Linked DNA regions of Astyanax mexicanus. The protein of the gene in region 2 binds, or shares a complex with, the protein of the main gene of each other region. Links are inferred from orthologs where the notes say so. Each region holds a gene or a part of one and is shown on either strand. Other genes may lie near its edges.

What was found. The genes of interacting proteins can lie anywhere in the genome.
Region 1: the proteins of keap1b (region 2) and ptmaa are in contact, whole or in part, in a crystal structure (PDB 2Z32), measured with the Mus musculus proteins. The link is inferred for Astyanax mexicanus from reciprocal best matches to the Homo sapiens genes KEAP1 and PTMA. Residues at the interface, in NP_001103775.1 of Mus musculus: Tyr334, Ser363, Arg380, Asn382, Arg415, Phe478, Arg483, Ser508, Gly509, Tyr525, Gln530, Ser555, Ala556, Tyr572, Gly574, Phe577, Ser602; in NP_032998.1 of Mus musculus: Gln40, Asn41, Glu42, Glu43, Asn44, Gly45, Glu46, Gln47.

What each region holds. Positions count from the first base shown.
Region 1 is NC_064412.1:25,143,898-25,147,651, reverse strand, and holds the start of ptmaa (prothymosin alpha-A), read right to left. Parts: upstream 2,862-3,754; 5' UTR 2,847-2,861; coding exon 2,799-2,846; intron 2,772-2,798; exon of another isoform or gene 2,757-2,771; coding exon of another isoform or gene 2,721-2,756; intron 1,419-2,720; exon of another isoform or gene 1,261-1,418; coding exon of another isoform or gene 1,216-1,260; intron 1-1,215.
Region 2 is NC_064412.1:31,853,636-31,857,389, forward strand, and holds the start of keap1b (kelch-like ECH-associated protein 1B), read left to right. Parts: upstream 1-861; 5' UTR 862-995; intron 996-1,003; exon of another isoform or gene 1,004-1,219; intron 1,220-1,491; exon of another isoform or gene 1,492-1,973; intron 1,974-2,481; exon of another isoform or gene 2,482-2,584; intron 2,585-2,859; 5' UTR 2,860-3,754. UniProt on the Homo sapiens protein: Substrate-specific adapter of a BCR (BTB-CUL3-RBX1) E3 ubiquitin ligase complex that regulates the response to oxidative stress by targeting NFE2L2/NRF2 for ubiquitination.

The DNA of each region.
Region 1 (3,754 bases), about 6.7 Mb from region 2:
TAATGTCCCACCTTCCCACCAAGTGTACAGACGGAAAGCACCACAGAATGAGAGTTGGAGTCCCGAGGCACGAGGATGTATAGGCTGAACACTAGTGGGTACGTGAGGCTGTCGTGCATTTGTATAGTGTATTCCTGATGAACCATCTAAACCAGCTAACGCTAGCTAAATAAAATCCTCCGGACAGGTAACGGTAGCGCAGACCAAGCCCCCCACACCCCCCCCCCCCCCCCCAACCAGTCAGTCCAACTTAAATAAGACCCCCGCTCGTCCTTATGGTCACAGTCAGGTCGCTTTCTTAAACTTTTTATTATTATTCCCCCCCTAAGTTCTGAATGAAAACATGCGTAACGTTTAGATGCATCAAACTCAAATCCCCGCCAAACAGCCCAGCCGGGTAAATCCGAGGCAGCGAGGCAGGTCGTGTCTGCGACAAACGAGCAGCTGAACGGGGATAAATAAAGAAATAATGAGATGCGTGGAGTAAAAGCGTCCTCAGCTACAACAACCAAAGAAAACGTGTCAAAACAAGCCCCCTCTCCTCCGTGGCCTCGTTCAGGGAGAACAGAGCGGACAGAGCAGACAGAGAGCCGCGCGGCGCGGAAGACAACTTGTCACATTTCAGAACAAGAGGCAGCAAATCTCCGCGTCCCTCAAACCCCGGACGAGGCGCTGCCGCCGCCGCTGCCGGTGATAAACCCCCGCGCTGACGGGCTCAAACCCGACCCTCCTCCCTTCAAACCAGAAGTTGGCGGTGTTTTGATATTAGAATCTGTAGCTCAAAGGCACTTTTTTCAAAAAGAGGGAACCGAAACGCCTTTATAACAAAGAAGAACCCGCGCGGACTACAACAGTGTAACTGAGGAGACAACGCTAATCTTAGCTCTGCCTGTAAAAAAAAAAACCCAACTTCAGAGCGCAGGTTAGTTAAGGCTAGCTAACATTTCCCTCATCCAGAAAAGTCTTCACTCAAAACCTTGTTCGTCCACGTCCACGACAGCAAATATACGCACAATTAAACGAATAATAGTGTCCCTCGCCACATACATCACAGCACCGTTAGCTACATTACTACTAATATGTCCACACGTTTAAAAAAAGTGTTTTTTTTTATTATTCTAAAACCCCGCACATCTAAACCTATCAACCCATTGTACGCTAAAGTCCGTTCATCATAAAGCTACAGTAAGTCATCAATTCCAGCAATTCTCTTACCTTGGCGGAAATTTCCGAGCTGGTGTCGACTTTTGTGTCAGCCATTTCTGCCTAAAATGTGTATAAATGGGATGCGGTCACGCAGAAAAAAAAATGAATGTAAAGAGAAGGAGGAGGGGGGAAGAAAAAGAATCCCAAAAAAATCGCTTATAATAAAGATAAAGGGTGAGTTAGTGCCTGTGGCAAACTCCTCCGACAGCGGAGCCCCATTATATAGAATAGTGGGCGGGGCCTGCAGGCGGGCGCTGCGCGCTGATTGGTCGGAGGGAGGAAAAATTCGTAGGCTGTGTCTAATTCGCCAGACTGGAACAATGGACAGTATTTCTATACCGAGGGAACCCGCTTGCAAAACCAACCTTTCTGACTCATTTATGTGACTGGTCCTCTTCTGATGGATGACTTATGCGAGCCCCCCACCTCAAAACGCGGTAGATTTAGACTATACTGCTTTTTTTGTTGTTGTAAAATAGAAAAGGTTTCTGGAGATGTCTGTGGACTGTGCTCACAAAACGCGTCAGTCGAGACCATCCTCCTTCTACACCATCCGCGTATAGCTAGAGAGATGGCCAGCAGGCAGACAGACACACACTGTTAAAGCCACCACACATGTAATTAGATCTTTATGCTTATCCTGTTTGGCTTAACAGCGTGTAACTACAACCTTATTGGGTTGTATTTCGCTTCTCTCTCTATCTCTCTCTCTCTTGGTGTTATTACATAGGAACTATATGTGTTATGAGCGAACATGTTTAGTAGGAATCAGGGGATCAAAATTATCAATCTCAGTTAACCTACTATTCACTGTAACTTCACTTGTTTATGTCAAAATGGATGTATTTTTTAAATGGTCCCTGGTAGTGGTAATGCTTAAAAGTTCATTATTTTAAGCAATGAACTGAACAAGGTCACATAAGCAAAGATCAAAGGATAATATTGCGGTACTTAGCTAGCAGAGCTCCTTCACGGGTTTGAGTGACAGTTATCGGCCCCTCCTCTTTACCAAAGTGTCTCTTTGCTGAAAAATATTATTGTCTGTGAAGTGGAGGGAAGCGAAGGCTGCGCTACTGCTCCGCTGAATGTTTGGAGCTGTAGTCATATTAGGTACGCTGATCTCACAACAGCTCTTGTCGCCTGTCTTGTGTTTGTAAGCTGAATAATGGGTTGGACTGAGCTGATCCCAGATCAGTGGAAAAAAAGGCAGAGTGAACAGTGGCTCGTTTAAGACCAGCGGCGAGCAATACTGATAGTTAGCTCGGGTATAGCGGATTATTTTTGCAACTATCGATTTTAGCCACGTGATTTTGTTGTTGTTGTCAAAGTGTTTCAAACAATTACACATAAAATCAAGTTAAAGTCCGTTTAAGTCTTTTACCGTGTTGGTTTCGCGCTACTGTTGCAACAACAAACATGGCGGACTGCGAATCGTGACGGAAAATAAAAAGCACAATAACGAGCCGACTACCCGGTTTAATCGCGTGTTTAGAGATGTACAGACATCGACTTACAGCGTTAAGTGTGAACGAGGAATCACTGCAACACATAAACGATTAAAGAAATAAAACACGGAAATCAATGAACCTCACCAAAATGGCCGAATTAGAAAGCCGTATGGCGTCTTGAAGTCTCCCCATTGGACGAGGGAAGGGAGCGAACGTGTACTTGACGCTTTGCGAGCGCTGATTGGGCCGTCCTGACGTCAATCAAATAAAAATGCTCGCTAACGGCTTTGTGGAAAGCACGGATTGTAAATTCATGTGCGGATCCGGATCTTTAGTGAACTTCAGCTCGTACTGGCGCTCCGACACAGTCCTGCTGCTAATGAATGGATCCTTTTCCTTCCCCAGATTAATTTTTTTTTCCCGACAAAAGCGTTTAAAATAGAATAATCGGATATAAACAGGCTGTAGCTTCTTGCCTTAATATCCCGAATCCTATTAACATTAAACTGACGACCACAGACTCCTTAAACTACAGGCTTATTATTCTCTACACTTGTTGTTTAGGATGTGAGATTGTATTGTGTAACAACGAGCCTATATGACAATAAGCTTTATTATGAAAATTATCTTATGTTATTAGAGTGATAAGTGAACATATGCTGTCAGATTAAGGTTTTAAACTATTTTTTCTTAAAATATAGTATATTGTTATACCATATATGCCAGCATAACATCTTGCATGTTCATATTTTTATAAATAGTTGGTATAGAAATTGTAAATATATATTGAAACATTGGAAAAAATTAAGAGAGTATGTTTTATTCTATAAACTATGGACAAAATTTTTTCCCAAATTCCAAATAAAAATATTGTCATTTAGAGAATTTATTTTCAGAAAATGAGAAATGGCTGAAATAACAAAAAAGTTATGTGCTACTGCACATTGCTTATTTTAAAAGACTCACAGCTACTGGTTACTGGCATTGGGAATGCTGGCACTGTACTGCACATTATTTGTAAATATTTGTAAAATATAGCTTCTTTGCACTCTCCACTGGACTAATTATGTCATATATTGCATATTTGCATTCCTCCAACT
Region 2 (3,754 bases):
GTAAGAGGGGGGAGTGTGCGGGGGTGGGGGGGTGGGGGGGTGTTGTTCTTGTGAGGTTTGTTGTGGCAATAGGAAGCTTGCTCTATTCAATTCGGAATCGATTCGAAAGAACCTTTTACATGACTGAACGATTCCTTTTAGTTTAGTATCACAAAGAAGATATTCGCACCTTCAACCACCCACTTTCCCAGTTTTGTGATACATAAGAAAGTAGTTAAATAAGTCACATCTCTATTAATAAAATATGATTTATTATTATTTATTATTCTATTATTGTTTTTTTTGTTTTTTCTAATGTTGCTTCTTTTTATACTTTTGTTTTAAATGTTCTTTTTTTGTTATTTCAGTTCAAAGTTAGTGTTCACATATATTTTAATAATTTTACAGTTTATTTTCTTATTCCGAAATGTATTTATGTAATTTGGATTGCTTGACTGATTCATTTATCTATCTATATATTTTAACTCTTACTAATTAAGCCTTAAATTGTTATTTTTTACTCTTCCAGTCTTGTTTTTTTGTGCTTGCTTTTGTTAAATTAATATATATATATTCTCTTTAATCCTTGTTTACCGTGAATACAATGTACTTTCAATGAAAAATAAGAGTTGGTTGGGTTATATAAATAAAACATGTATATATTTTAAAGATATCACTATGTCATGTATTACGCTATTATTTCATTTATTCAGTACTTTTGGTGTTACTTTTTCTTTTGACACTACTGTAGTCACGGTTATTGCAATGTTTGACCATTTATGTTCTCGATAGCTACAGTATATTGCCTATTTGAATCCGAGTCTGAATCTAGTATTTGCGAATCGACTCATCTGACTCGGTTCATGGAGAACAATTCGTTCCTGAATCGACCGTCGCTAGTCGGTCGCAGTGCTTAGTCATGGTGACTTACTGCTTCGCGCTCTCTCTCTGTCCCCCCCCCTCTCCTCTCATCTGGCCTTTAGTCAGCACTGACAGACTTCATCCTCACAAGACGCGTGAGTAGCAACCTTAAAACCTTTGCACTGCAAAAAACGAGTCGTTGTGTTTCGTTAGAGCTGCACTTTTCTGTGCATTTTCTTTGTTTATCATCGTGTTGCACGCTGAGTCGGTGGGAAGTGATTCATCTGCCCGTGCTTCACCAGAGTGCACTGCTGAGGAGTGTTTTCGAGCTTTGCCAGGATACATAAGTCTGTCTGTCTGGAACAGCACAGACCGCTAGGTAACATAGGTTAGTTTTTAGGTGTAGGGTCGCAGTCTTAGAAATCCCACTGTTTATCTAAAGCATTTGGGGCTGTGATTCATGCAGAGATCTTTAACACTGAAAATCATGGACTCATGGATCATGAAGAAATCCACTACCCATACAGTAGCTCTACTCGTTTAAAAGATGGTGCAGGTTTTATATAAGGAGTGTTTATATAAGGATTAAGCCTAAAAGATTAGATAACAATAAAATAAAAGTAAACAATAAATGCAGTGTTAAATTATTTTTCTTTACAATAATATATGGCTGTAGTGAAAGGTATTAAAGACCCACAATAATCCAGTCGGGGTTCATGGGGTTAATAAAGTGAAACACGATCGCCTACTTTCCTTATCCAGCTGACGGCATGCCTTAACTCTCTGTATTCTCTTTTAAGATGTAAAATTAAGATAAGCTATGTAGGTTAGACTGTTTTACCGAAAATTCCGCTAGCTGTGCCAGTGTTTACCTGATTAAATTAAACAAACCCTTCGCCGGTAATTGTTTTGAATAAGGTGCGCGTTGTTTGGTAAAATAACCTAGCGTTAGGTAACCTAGTTAGCTCCTAAAAGGAGCTGCTGTGGCTAGTTTAATTATTAAAGCGAGAGAAAGTTTTACACGATATACCTGTAATGTTATCCACCCTTTAGAAACGCTTCTTTAAAAGCTCTGCGGACTGAAAAGTTCAAACCTGAACGGACGAGGCTGGAGAACGGCGAAGTTTCCTGAGGTTGGTTGGCTCATTATGACCCACTCTTCAGTAGAATCGCTTCCCGCCTTGGCAGCACTGTCCCCCGCAGGGGCTCGAACTCAAGCCCGGGGATTCGCGGCCTGTGGTTTGGTTTTTGTTTAGTTTTATTTTTTACTCTCCACGCTGATATTTATTGCTTTTTAAAGTGTCGTTACAAACAGGCAAGCGACCATTGATATGTAGAGTCGACATTGGCTAAAACATTTTTTTTTACTTGTGGTGTGTTAAAATTACAACTTAAAATCGACTATTTCGCTCTCTCTGACCAATTGTAACATTTCATCAGTTTACACTAATGCTAACAAAATGTCAACAACAAATGCTTTTGTTGTATTAAGCTGTGTAGTGCAGAGAAAGACACCTGTGGAGTAAAAGTTTGTAGTTGTTTGGACGTCAGCGAGATAATTTGACGTAAAGAAAAATGTAGTCACGATGACGAGGGGGGAGTCGGACCTGATTGAAACCAACCAGTGTGTGTGCGCGTCACTGGTCTTAAATAACAGTGTTGTTCAGCTCACTACCACAACACCACATCCAGCAGCAGACTGGTTGGCTTGTTTGTGACTTGGCATATCCATGGATACTGATAAGTAACTACCGGACCTTTGGACTATTTTTTTTTAGCTCTGAACTCTCAGCATATACTGTTATATGTGTTTCTGTTGCAATATTTTGTGTGTTTTATTTTAGTTTTATCAGCATGATTAAAGTTAGTTTATGCTGTCTGATTGCAGTGTGCTGACTGTGTGTCATTTAAGCAACAGGAATGTACTTGTTGTGTCAGGACAGAATGTCCGTGATTTCACCCTGTTGATCTTTGTCGTAAATCTCTCTCGCTCACTCTCTCACTTCTTTTTTTTTGCAGGTCTTTGAGCGACCGGCAGACGAAAACAGATTCCAGGGCACAGAACTTTTAAGACCTTCAGTCCTGGCGGGATCAGCTGTGTAAAGCTGTGCTGTTTTCCTGGAGAAGATTGTCTGTACAGGCTAAATAACCTCTAGCACCTTTCACACGCCTTCTGACCTGAATGTCTGTAATCTTTCAGGCTGTCGGCTAGACTTCGAGTTTACAAACGGAGGTGAAACGGTGACTTTTAACCTAGAAAACCTTATGCTACAACGAGAGGAAATTATTTTTTTTTCCAAGTCAAGGAGTTCTTATACTTTCATTGAAAAACTCCTTTTAGGGCACTTTAGGAGCAGACTCTCTTTTTGTCTGTTTTATGACCTTAGTTTTTTTGCTTTTTTCCTTTTTTCCTTTTGCCTTTGGGTGTTTTCTGGTGTTCTGCACCAGTAGAACAGTTTGTACTGGCAACCTAAATGTGCTTGGGGCACTACAAACTGGCTTGCTTAATTTTAAAGCCAGTTCACCTAAGGCTGTAGGAGACAGTTCAAGATTTTTCCTGCTTAATAATCCTTACATAACAGCAGGATGTTTATGTTTCGAAGTAGAATGTGAAAAGTTCACCTAGGCTTTCTAATAAAGATGCATCTCGTGTTTCTTTGAGATCATAAAAGGACAGTGAATTACATGTTGATATGGAGTCTACCCGTGGACTTCAAGCTTGCAACAGGTAGTGCTTTTAGCACACTGTCAATCACTGGAAAAATTGTTTGTAGGAATTAGTCACAAGGAAGAAGGCAGCTCTTCTCCCCAAGGACCTGACGTTTGTCACCTAGCACAGCTAATTCAATGCTGCCTCTGTCATTTCCAATGCTAAGATAACTTGGCTGGGACTTGAAAGGTTGTGGGGGTTAAA